Callithrix jacchus: one gene and its partner. The protein of the gene in region 1 purifies or fractionates together with the protein of each later gene. This does not show direct contact. Links are inferred from orthologs where the notes say so. Each region holds a gene or a part of one and is shown on either strand. Other genes may lie near its edges.

What was found.
Region 2: the proteins of HSPD1 (region 1) and SIRT3 purify together in Homo sapiens (affinity purification with mass spectrometry; 3 studies listed by BioGRID and IntAct, counting the BioPlex papers as one, with this or other methods). This does not show direct contact. The link is inferred for Callithrix jacchus from reciprocal best matches to the Homo sapiens genes HSPD1 and SIRT3.

Annotation. Positions count from the first base shown.
Region 1 is NC_133507.1:118,455,110-118,461,370, forward strand, and holds part of HSPD1 (60 kDa heat shock protein, mitochondrial), read right to left. Parts: exon of another isoform or gene 6,133-6,261; intron 6,044-6,132; 5' UTR 6,042-6,043; coding exon 5,868-6,041; intron 4,711-5,867; coding exon 4,458-4,710; intron 2,881-4,457; coding exon 2,798-2,880; intron 2,250-2,797; coding exon 2,154-2,249; intron 1,749-2,153; coding exon 1,655-1,748; intron 593-1,654; coding exon 424-592; intron 1-423. UniProt on the Homo sapiens protein: Chaperonin implicated in mitochondrial protein import and macromolecular assembly. Together with Hsp10, facilitates the correct folding of imported proteins.
Region 2 is NC_133511.1:131,713,357-131,720,261, reverse strand, and holds the end of SIRT3 (NAD-dependent protein deacetylase sirtuin-3, mitochondrial), read right to left. Parts: intron 4,791-6,905; coding exon 4,581-4,790; intron 3,233-4,580; exon of another isoform or gene 3,115-3,232; intron 2,539-3,114; coding exon 2,518-2,538; 3' UTR 1,757-2,517; downstream 1-1,756. Other genes in the region: RIC8A (chaperone Ric-8A), read left to right, coding at 240-387.

The DNA.
Region 1 (6,261 bases):
CCTTAAAAACAAAACAAGATTCAAACTTGAACCCAGGAGGCTTGAGCCGAGATTGAGCCACTGCACTCCAGCCTGAGCGACAGAGTGAGACTGTCTCAAAAAAAAAAACAAAAAACAAAAAAAACAAGATTCAGTTACATACCTTCAAAATAACTGTAAACACTTGCAAAATAAAGAAAGGTACCCATGGGCTAAATTAGTCTATTCTATGAGAAAGCTGAACAAAATAGTAAAGACTGGGGAGTCCCATTCAAAAACACAAATATGAAGATACACAGAGCATATCTGATTTATACAAATACAATTCTAGATAAAAACCCAAGTAGATCATATGTGGAGGTACACATAATGGAGACTGCAAACAGCAATACAAATAATTCTTTCATCCAGAAATATAAATCATCAAATACCACTGCCTATTACCTATTCAAGACAAGTGTACTTAGAGCTTCTCCATCAACGTCTTCAGCGATTATGACCAAAGGCTTACGGTGAGCATTGGCAATTTCAAGAGCAGGTACAATCGACTGGACACTAGAAATTTTCTTTTCACTCAACAGAACATAGGCATCCTGGAATTCACATTTCTGACCTGTAAAAATAATGAAGATTTCAAAAATACACAAAATGAATACAATGTATTTAAATGAAAAGCTAAACCAAGGTTCCAACACACTTAAAAAGTGACCAGGCTGGGTGCGGTGGCTCATGCCTGTAATCCCAGCACTTTGGGAGGCTGAGGCGGGTGGATCACAAAGTTAAGAGACCATCCTGGCCTACATGGTGAAACCCTGCCTCTACCAAAAAATACAAAAATTAGCTGGGCGTGGTGACTCACGCCTGTAGTCCCAGCTACTCGTGAGGCTGGGGCAGGAGAACTGCCTGAACCCAGGAGGCAGAGACTGCGGTGAGCTGAGATTGTGCCACTGCACTCCAGCCTGGCGCCTGGCAACAGAACAAGACTCTATCTCTGGAATACACACATTTATTTTTTTAGAGGATGACACCAACTAACATCCATAGTTTGACACACGTTAGGAAAGTACGTTTAAAAAATTTTAGGAGGGTAAAACAGGGAGATCACTTGAGGCCAGGCATTCAAGACTAGTCTGGCCAACATGGCTAAACCTTATCTCTATTAAAAATACAAAAAGTAGCCGGGCACGGTAGCTCATGCCTGTAATCCCAGCACTTTGGGAGGCTGAGGTGAGCATATTGTCTAAAGTCAGGAGCTAGAGAGACCAGCCTGGCCAACGTGGTGAAACCCCATCTCTACTAAAAATACAAAAATTAGCTGAGCATGGTGGCACCTGCCTATAATTCCAGCTACTTGGGAGGCTAAGCAAGGAGAATTGCTTGAATCCGGGAGGTAGAGGTTGTGATGAGCCAACATTGCATCACTATACTCCAGCCTGGGTGACAGTGAGACTCTGCCTCAAAATGAAGAAATAAATTAAGGAAAAATAAAAATTAAATTAAATTAAAAAATTAGCCGGGCATGGTGGCACATGCTTAGATCCCAGCTGTTTTGGAGGCTGAGGCCCAAGAATCACTTGAACCCAGGAGGTGGAGGTTGCAGTAAGTCAAGGTCACAACACTGCACTCCAGACTGGGCAACAGAGAATAAGACTCTGTCTAAAAGATTTGTTTTTACCTTTTGATGTATTAATAAAGTATGGAGAAATATAGCCTCGATCAAACTTCATGCCTTCAATAATTTCTAATTCATCATTAAGTGTTTTTCCATCCTATGAAAAGACAAAGAATTAGGTATACGGATTTCAATGAACACAAAACATGAAATTACAGGCCAGATTAACAAAAATAGACCCCTTTGGTCATTAGGAATATAGGCTAGAGTATGAAAAAACCCAGGATATCCAATTTCACTTCTGCAAAAATCCCAAAAGTGCTTATTTAAATAATTCTTATGGCTAGACAATATTTAAGTTAGGATGGATTCATTTCACAAAGCAAAGGCTAATTCACGTAAAACACAGTAAGCACTTTGTTCTATACATGTGCTGAGACCACATATAAAGAAATGAAACCACACAGTATTTAAAACACATAAAATTTTTCTACTTGGAAAATTCAGTTTTGATCATCAGATAACTCATTCAAACTATTTTTAAAAACACAAACACACTTGCCTTTACTGTGATGACACCCTTTCTTCCAACCTTTTTCATTGCATCAGAGATGATATTCCCAATTTCTTTGTCTCCATTTGCAGAAATTGTAGCAACCTGAAATAGTCAAGTTGAATTAAAAGGTAAGGCTAGTGCCCTCAGTCAGTTCCCTCATCTTTTCCCAGTAACTTCCAAACTGACACTTACATTCCAGGGAGAAAATTTACGATATGGTAGTTTTCATGAAGTACTAGTTCTTTCTCTTTTTTGATTCATTAACTACACTGTTTTGAGAAACATGATATATAAAACTATTCTTTTAACAATATGTATCTTTTTACATGGCAAATCTGATACTACTAACTGACAAAACTTATGCACCTTTGACAATGGCTAAGAACATTTTCACAATCATACTAATCCATTTTACAGCCATGTAGAACTAAAATGACAACTACACATAGAAGTAAAATGACAGCTACACATAGAACTAAATGACAATCATTATGGTCAAAATTCTTTTCAAATGTTTTAGCAGTAAGAAAAAATGAGTCTAATACTGACGATTAGGTAATACTGTTATTCTGACATTGGTGTGATCGAGAAAAAAAAAACACACATGCCATAAATTTTTTTAAAAAAAGTGTAACATATTAAGTCCTTACCTGTGCAATTTCTTCGGGGGTGGTCACAGGTTTAGACTGCTTTTTAAGTTCGGCAATTACAGCATCAACAGCTAACATCACACCTAGTTCAACAATGTATGTCATTACAATGCTTATTTCTCTCAGGGCTTCTATGTCAAGTAGAAATCTTGAGATTCATAACAAATATTTTAATGACTTAAAAAAAAATTTTTTTTGAGACAGGCACTTGCTCTGTCGCCCAGGCTGGAGTGTAGTAGCACAGATCATGGCTCACTGCAGCCTTGACATCCTGGGCTCGAGGGAGTAGCTGAGACCATAGGCTCAAGGCACCATGCTCAGCTTATTTTATTTTTGTAGATTAGGTCTCACTATGTTGCCCAAGCTGGTCTTGAAATCCTGGGCTCAAGCGATCCTCCCACCTCAGCTTCCCATGTAGCTGGTACTTACAGGCATGTATCTATGCTTGGACTAAAACAAGGCAGATGTGTACAGTTCCAAGAGTCTCTCCACTGAACTCATCCTATGCAAATCATTTCTAACCCAATCATGCTGCCCGTCCCTGACACTTTTCATGTCTGTCAGATGATGCAAAAAAAGGACCAAAATGGGTAACACTCCCTTACTTTCAACAAGTATAGTTCTTAAATGATAGGAATTTGTTGTGACTATGTCTCTACAGGTGTCAATTATTTGAAATTCTTTCACTTAATTTAGTATGTATTATGAACTAACAAAATATTTGTTATACATTAGTTTTTTAAGTCTCATTTTGCTTAACTGGGAATAGTGCTAGCTCTCCTGTTTGAGAGATATACTTAAAAAAAAATCCAATGCAAGGTGTTGGGAAGTCCTCTTAATCTTAATATGTTAGTGATTTACAGTAAAACTGCTTAAGTGCAGTGTATTCACTTGACCCATAAACACTGAAATAGATAAGGTAATGATATATTAGTAATGTAGTAATACATCAGTATGTCAATTATGACAAAAAAATTATCAATAGCACCACCCCCATGACTCTCAAGAGGGTTCCAGGTTTGAACCCTAACATACTCTAGATATACATATAGCAATTCTGGTGATAGGAAAACCAAGTCTTAGCACACAGCTAATAAATGACAAAAGATGGGACTAAAATTTATCAGCTTCATACTGCCATGAAGCTCATGGTGAGGAGCAAATTAAGTTACACTCCAGTTACAAGCACTAACAAACCAATAACACAGTTTGTGCTAAGAAAAAATAAATTGTGGAAAACATTACTTTCTGATTCAGTCTAGTCTTACTTTCTACAAAACTAAACTAAAAATTAGCCAGGAATGGTGGTGAATGCCCACAGTCTCGGCTACTTGGAGGCCGAGGCAGGAGGATTGCTTGAGTTCAAGGTTACAGTGAACCATGACTGTGCCACTGTGGTCTGGCTTGGACTCTGTCCCTAAAAACAAAAGAAATCAACTAAGTAAAACATCAAAATTACCTAACAGCACCCACCACACAGTCTGGCATTCAATCACTACTTACTAAAGGAAAACCCACTTTAAGATTTCTCTAGGCCAAGAGGAGGAATGAGAGAAGGATCAATTTCCTACAGTAACAAACACTTTCCTTAGGTTCAAGGAATTAATGCCTTAAAGTATACTGAAGTTTAGAACACTGTAGTGACAACAAACATTCCTACCTCTCCTGATTTCCACTGGATTAGCACCTTTGCTAATCTTCTCGAAGCCTTCCTTGGCAATAGAGCGTGCCAGTACAGTAGCCGTGGTAGTGCCATCCCCAGCCTCTTCATTTGTGTTATTGGCAACATCTTGAACAAGTTTAGCTCCAATATTTTTATATTTATCCTTTAAGTCAATTGACTTTGCAACAGTCACACCATCTTTTGTTACTTTGGGACTTCCCCAGCTTTGCTCAATAATCACTGTTCTTCCCTAGAAGAAAAAAAAAAAGTTACTGGATCACACACACTCTAAGGGTTATTTACATGTCAAAAAATGAGCAGTTTTCATAATGAAGCAACTACTTCAAAGTCTCAACGTTTTTACCAGTCTTGCAGCATGAATCTCAAGGGCACGTTTATTAATATTCTTTGTCAACAGACAAAATGATCTGTTTCTCGGCCAAGAGCGTAATTTCGAATTAGATAATTTAGGAGATTAAGTTTTGGTTAGTGCCTGTTATCTTTGAAAGTAATGTGACCATCAAGGCAAGTAGTGTGCTCTTCCAGGTTCACTCAACATAAAACCTCAACCATGGCACAAATAGTTATTGGCCACCTTTTGGATGTGAACTAAAGCTGTTACTTTCCATTTGTGAGGTGTGTAAATATTTTATGCAGTTGTTTGGATCACTTAATATCTGAACTGTCTTCAGACTGAAATGAACACCACTTCACTGCACACCACTTTAAAGGCCTCCTCAAAATATTAACCCTATTAAATGAGACTGATTTTAAATATGCTTTGGAACAAGAGAACAGCAGAAAACCGATAGGTAAAACTAGCATTTTGGGATGAAGGAGAGAACGGTAAGCTACTGTTTAATGAGCATAAAGTTACAATTTTCCAACATAAAAAAGTTTTGGAGATGGATAGTGGCAATAATTGCACCACATAAATGTAATTAATGTCCCCAAAGTGCACACTTAATGGTGATTTTCTGTTGTGTACATTTTACTACAACAAACAAGCAAACGAAAGCACCTACAAGCACATACCTGAGGTACTAAAGGAGATAAACTCTTCCCTCTATACTTGGCATGAACTACTGGGGAAAAATCCAAATTTTAACTTAGGCAAGCAAAATTCTACCTCGAGTTTAGGAATCCACCTTGAGCTATGAGTTACTACCCGATTACATCACGCATTGTACAAAATAGTTTTGAAAATCTGGCTGAAGCACTTTTAAGCTTTAAGATCATGTCTAAGAAAAGAAAGGTTAACCAATACTTCACAACTCTTACATGTAAACTGGTTTATCTCAAAAACAGATACGAAAGTACTGTTCAATAGTTCAGTGCGACTGTTTGTGAGTAAAACGCTATTAATACTGTAATTACAATAAAATAAATAAATAAATATACGGATACCTTTGGCCCCATTGTAACAGCTACGGCATCGGCTAAAAGGTCTACACCTTGAAGCATTAAGGCTCGGGCATCTGCACCAAATTTTACATCTTTGGCGTAAGCCCGAGTGAGATGAGGAGCCAGGACCCTGGAAACCGGTCTCATCTGGCGAAAGACGGTGGGTAACCGAAGCATTTCTGGGGATGGAAGCAAATATATAATCAGTACTACCACCCGTGGTGCTCTGCTGCACAAACATGCCCACCTGTGCAACAGAGAAAACAACCTGAGATGCTGAGCCTGGCTGACCTCCGCCAGCTTCTACGCCTGGACTACGGAAGGCGCCGCAGCTACGAACATCAGCCACTAGCGCAAGCTAAAGAGGCCGCCCCGGAGCCTGACCTATAGCACTAGC
Region 2 (6,905 bases), on another chromosome or scaffold:
ATGGGGATGAGTCCTCGGGGTCACCTTACGTCCCTGCAGGACGCCATGTGCGAGACTATGGAGGAGCAGCTCTCCTCGGACCCTGACTCAGACCCTGACTGAGGATGGCAGCTCTTCTGCTCCCGTCAGAACCGGTGCTGCTTCCAGAGACTCCCTGGGGCTGTAACCTGGGAGAAGCCACATCCCCTGGGCCCACACCCCTCTCTCCATCTTGGAAACCCTTTCTCTTTACTCCCCAGGTTCTGTTCACGATTTGCCCCTGGTTCAGTTTATCTCAGGACTGCAGTGGTCTTGTGCAAGAACGCACAGCTCAGCCTTGAATTCTGCAGGCAAAGTACTTTTCTTTTGTCTGCGCCAAGAGGAATGTGTGTAGAGGCTGCTGCCTGAGGGCAGGGCCTACCTGGGCATACAGAAGAGCGTGCATATGGGAGGGCAGGGGGATGGGCGTGGGTGTGCACAGAGCAAGCACATCTGAGATTGGCATGCGGGCCAGAGCCGCTGTGTTGAGGGATGTGCTGCACTTCACAGGGAGAAAGAACCTGGCAGAACTTTACGTACAAGTGTGTCAGAACGCACACTCCAAGGTGTGCTCTGTGGTTTCTGTCCTGTCTTCACTGGGTGCAGGGCTGGAGGCCTCCCAGGTGTTCTCCTTGGTCCTTGTTGAGCTGCCCACTGTAGTATCCACAGTGCCCAAGTTCTCGCTGGTTCTGGCAATTAAATCTCAATCCTTCCCACTGGCTTAGACTAGACTTAGGAGGATGCCCCTCGTGTGACCACAGTTTGAGATTTATACCATGTACCGCACATAGACACAGAAACATCATCCTGAAATAAAGAGTTCTGAGCAAAAATATATGTGTGAATATGTATGTAAACTGTTAAAGTGGCTCACGCCTTAACCCCAGCACTTTGGGAGGGCGAGCCAGGCGGATCACTTGAACCCAGCCTGGCCAACAATGGGAACCCGTCTCTTAAAAATACTAAGTGTTACCCCAAAACCTAAAATGGAAAAAAAAAAAAAAAAAAGATGTGACCTAAAAAAAACACTAAGCGTGATGGCTAAGCCCCTGTGCTAAACACGGTGGCCCACGCCTCTAATCACAGCTACCCAGGAGGCTGAGGCACAAGAACTGCTTAAACCCAGGAGGTGGTGGAAGCTGCAGTCAGCTGAGATCACACCACTGCACTCCAGCCTGAGTGACAAGAGAGACACTCTCAAAAAATAAGAAATCAGGTAAAGGAATATTAACTAGAGTTAGAAACTAATTTCATTCCTTTTAGAATTCAACACTTTTCCTAGGTCACCACTTCTGTCTTTCGTTCTTACTGAGGAGCCAAGTCAGAGCCCCCTTCCTGGGAGTCAGTCATTAAATGGATTCCCGTCAGCTCAGCCCAGGGGAGGCAATGTTCAGGAACAGGAAGTGCTTTTGTCTGGGGAAACACGCAGGTGATCTGATGCTAGGGAGGAGCTGCTTGCATGTGGGTAAGAGCCCAAGGGGAAGCCACTGGTACCTGAAGGGCTGAGCCATCAGAGCTGGGCCTTGGTGCAGCCCCAGGAGCAGCAGCCTGTGCAGAACTAGGAGCTCAGTGGATTCTCCCTCCTATGTCACAATCCAGCAGGTGGCCAGGACTCAGCCTGGGTTTTCAGTGAGTAATTCCTCCTCACTAGTCTCAGAGATTAGCTCTAGCGGTGTCACTGGAGGAAGCCCTGGGGCTGGGGGGCAGTGTGGGGACAAGGAGACCAGAGAGAAAGTGCTAGAATAGTCTGGAACAGATGTTTCAAAGTCAACAGAACATGACCACCTTCAGAGGAAGAAGCTGGGCCATCTCCAATAAACCCAGAGACAAGTGCCTTCAATCCTCGGACTGTTCCAACAGAGGGGATGCTGTGTACCCCAGGGTTACTTTTCCAACTCATGTCAACACCTGCAGTCCCTTTGAGGAGACTAAAATGTATTTCATGCTGAAAATAAAGGACAGGTTTTCTCTAACTAAAAACAGCCGTACTAAAGGAGACCAACATGCTAGAAGTATAGCACCAGGGCCTCAAGACTGCACTTCAGGACACGAAGAGGGCTGGGGGCTGCTCGGCCCGAGTCTGGATCTTCTAACCAGGGATGCTGAGCTTGCCCTCAGACAGGGACTTGGCACAAAGAAAGCAGACCCAGTCTGGGATTCTAGTCTGTTTCAGTTCAAGAGGGTCCCTGTCAGAAGAAAGCTTTTTCCATTCCGAGCTTCAGCAGAGTGAAGAGTTAAACACAGCAAGCAGGCAGGCAGGCAGGCAGCTCCTTTGCATATGTGTCGGGTGCCCCTGAATGTAAACAGCCCTACCAGTCAGCACAGCTCATAGCCTGGGAAGACAGTCCTGTGGCAGCCTCAGATGTCCGCTCAGTTCACATATTCTGGTTTGACCAAACATGTAAACCCGCCCAAGCTGTCTTCAGGCATGAGGTCTCATCAGAGATGGGATGTGGATGGCTCCTATGTCACCATTTCCTGCGTGGGGCAGCCGTCATCCTATTTGTCTGGTCCATCAAGCTGGAACACAGAAGACAGAGGTATCAGTTGTCTGTTAACATATCCAGGCAGCCTGCAGATCTCTGGTCACACAGATCTAGCTGCAGATATGCAAAATATTTCACAAAACAAGCTGCTTTCTGCAAATGATGCTGTTGTGCTGGGCTGCGAGGATCCCAACAGGCCTGGGCAGAACAGGGTGGCTAAATGGAGAGCCTCATTCTAAGGGAATTTAAGTACCCAAATCAAGATTTACTGATGCTCATGTGCTTAAAAATATTCACTATTTGGAAAAGTAACCCCTAGGATAGTAAATAAAAAACAAGAAACTCTAAAATCATAATACATTTCACAAAAATTTCTGTAAAATTATACAGTTCAAATCCTGTTGGGCCACTTCCAAAAATCCACAGGAGCTACCTGGGTTACAATCTGCTTTTTTTTTGAAAATAGGAAGTTGGGCCAGGTGTGGTGGCTCACACCTGTAATCCCAGCACTTTGGGAGTCTTAGGCGAGTGGATCACTTGAGGTCAGGAGTTTGAGACCAACCTGACTAACATGGTGAGACCCCGTCTCTACTAAAAATACCAAAATTACCCAGGCATGGTGGTGGCCGCCTGTAATCCCAGCAACTCGGGAGGCTGAGGCAGGAGAATCACTTGAATCCAGGAGGCAGAGGTTGCAGTGAGCCAAGATTGTGCCATTGCACTCCAGCCTGGGAGACAAGAGCGAAACACTGTTTCAAAAATAAATAAAGGAAGGTGTAGCAGGAAAAGGCTCCCTCAAAAAAAGCCTGCTAGGCTGATCTAAGATCTCTGCTACCTCATGAGCTGGCCAGGAGGCACTCGCCTCTCAACGTTTAAGCCTCATGTTAGCTGGGTCCCCTGCTTCCATAATGAAGTGATCGTGACTGGTAAAAACTCTGCCTGCAACGGGAGGCTGGGGGTCTTTGACTGGTGGAGGTGAAGAGAGTGCTGAACCCGTGGCCCTGAGCCACGTGGCAGGCACAGCTGTGGGCAAGGAAAAGGAATCAGGGTTTCCTGATGTCTGCCTTGGAAGACAAGAACATCAGCTGTGATACATTCTGGTTGACACGGTTTGGCTGTGGCCCCACCCAAATCTCACCGTGAATTGTAATAATCCCCACAAGTCAAGGGCAGGGCCCAGTGGAAGTAACTGATTCATGGCGGCAGATTTTCCCCGCACTGTTCTTGTGGTAGTGAGTCTCACAAGACCTGGTTTTATAAAGGGCAGTTCCCTGCACACATCCTCCTGCCTGTCGCCTTGTAAGACGTGACTCTGCTCCTCCTTTCCCTTCCACCGTGACTGTGAGGCCTCCCCAGCCAAATGGAACTATGAGTCCATTAAACCTCTTCCCTAGATAAATCACCCAGTCTCAGGTATGCCTTTGGTAGCAGCATGACAACAGACTCATACGCTGGTGAAATCCCCTTTGGACAGTGTCACACCTGCCTGTAATCACAACACAGGACTTTAAGTGCTTCATGCTACCTCCCATTGAAAACCCTTAATACCAAGGCTATACATGCTACAGGATTCTCATGGGAAAGTGCATTTTCCGTAACCTCACTTGTTTACAGGCAGTTTGGAACCTCTTAGAAAGCATCAAGGCTCTCTCTGGCTTTCCTCAGTGGTTTATAATAGATAGATGGCTTTCATAGCAATTACTTCCTGAAAGCATCACTAGGGTGGCCTTCATCCCACACAGGTGCAGAGAACTTTAGCTTCTCAAAGTGCTTTAACCCATATCTCAGAATCATTTACCAGGCCTTTGAGGTGCACTACTGGCTGCTCTATTTCAGGGTGAAGCTAACGCCTGTAGTGTGATAAGACGACAGACTCATCAGCCCCGAGTGCCTGGACCGTGTCCCTCCTGGCCCTGTTAGCATGTTTCTTCATCTCTAAATGAAGGTATTGCAAGTAATGCCCAGTCAGGTCCGGGCAGTGCCTGGTGCATGATTAACAGCATCGTCAGCTATCACTGTGTTACCATACCAGGGAGGAGGGCAGCCCCTTGAATGGCGCTGCTCAGCAGTCTGTACCTTCCCAGTTTCCCGCTGGACAAGGTCCCGCATCTCTTCTGTCCAGCCCAGAAGCTCCACTAGCCTTTCCACACTCTGAATCAGGTCCCCCAGCTGGGTCACGTCCCTGCTGCGAGGATGCCAAGCCAAGGTCCCCACCAAGTCCCAGTTGATGAGCAGTCGGGGAACTGAGCTCCGCACGGCCTCGGTCAAGCTGGCAAAAGGCTCCACCTGAAAAATGGCCCAAACGTGAGGGACACAGTGTCCACCCTACAAGCCCCTCAGGATGTTTCATGCCACAGCCACTGAGGCCTTGGAGGAGCAGCAGACTGGCAGGTCCTGTAAAACACGGAAAACCCACCACCAACCTGATTTCTTCAGTTGAGCTCCTGCCACCTGGCCTCAGTGACTCTGCTTCCTCCCCTCAGTCTCCCTCTCCTTCACTTCTTGCTGCTTCCAACACATCCTGGCCTCTCCCTACCTCCGGTTCAAGGTTCATCAGGGCTCCATCCTTCCTACCTCTTCCTTGTGAGCGCGTTCCATTCTCCCTGTCCTCCCCACCACGCTGTCTCCCAGCATGCCACGGAGGGACAAAGGACACTCGTCCGTCTCCTCTGGCTAGCCCTGCTCACTGTGACGGCCACCACCAGCCTCTGGCACAAGGAGGAGCTGGTGCCCCCGAACATCTCTCCATGGTCTTCACCACACAGCCTCTCAAGAGGCCTAACTTGGCGCCATCAGGCTTCTTCATACAGTTCTCAAAGCTTCTTTTAAGAGGAAAAATGTAAAACATAGATACATTAATAAATAGCATTAAAAATGGCTCACTATCTGGGGGGAAAATGCTCCATTCCCACCTCCCGCTGTAAAAAATTCAAATAAAAATTAAAAACAGTTCTTGAAGAAAATGTAGGGTTTACGAGTAAGGAAGAACTTTTTAGGCATGAAAACTGAAGTCAGGTTCCTTCCTCCTTCCCTCCTTCCCTCCCTCTCTATCTCTAAGTAAAAATTTAAAAAAAAGAAAGGAAACTAAAGTCAGATAAGGCAAAGGAAAGTGACAAATCTGACCATGTGAATACTATTACCTTGGTATCTACATAAAACTACTATGTAGAAAATTAAAAAATTTAAAAAACCTCTCATCATCATACACTGCAAAAATATTTACAATAAATGATAATAGTTTATATCACTAATGGATAAACTCATTTATAAACATATAATTTACTAATTTATAACGAAATTTATATTAAGGCCTGGACACGGTGGCTCACATCTATAATCCCAGCACTTTGGGAGGCCAAGCTGGGCAGATCACCTGAGGTCAGGAGTTCAAGACCAGCCTGGTCAACACGGTGAAACTCCGTCTCTACTAAAAATACAAAAATTAGCCAGGAGTGGTGGTGGGCGCCTGTAGTCCCAGCTACTCAGGAGGCTGAGGCAGGAGAATCACCTGAACCTGGGAGATGGAGGTTGCAGTGAGCCGAGATCGCACCACTGCACTCTAGCCTGGGTGTGAACTAAGTAAGACTCTGTCTCAAAAAAAAGAAAGAAAGAAATTTATAATCAGGAAAAAGGCTATTTTCATTTCACTTCAACAAAAGAGATGGCTGGTGGCCTGAGTGTCCACACCTGATGGCCAGCACGCTCAGCTCGGCTCAGTCCACACACTGCTGACCACCATGGCCCCTCTAACTGTTCCTCCTGTGTCTGTCCCTCCATTCTAGGCGTAGCATGGGCATTCTCATGCCCGTCCACACCCTGGGGTCTCCTATCTGCTCACTCCCAGCACCTCAGCTCTGTGGGAGAAAAGGCTCGTAAGTGCCAAAGCAGGAGACTGAAGCCTCAGTCCACTCCCGTTTAATAAACAGAATACAGAAAGAAGAATCTAGTTAGGAATAAGTATCGTGAGTCATTACATATCCGTCTTATTGAATATTAAGCCCTGATTAAAGCCTTCCTGTACTTTACGCATAATTTTCTAGGAACGTCAAGTTGCTGTGGTCAGGGACTGACAGTGGACACTATGGGATGTGGCCACAAGGCAAGAGCATCGACTGCTTTGATCAGCAGAGATGATCTGTGGAATGTGAAGCCAAGCCCTGTCACACCCACATAAGGGATGCTGGAGGGCATCAGAAATCTGTAGTACTGCCAGTGCTTGCGGAAGCACCTGCTACTCAGCAGGCATTAGAAGGGAACAGTCCCTGCCCCTGGGTGAGTCCGTACCCTCCACTCCCCCACGTGCTTGTGGAAGGACTGATACTGGTCAGCTACCCAGGGGCTTGTCTCTGTGTGGTGCTGTGCTATACTGGTTACAATCTGTGCCTGCTCTCACTCCCTGCT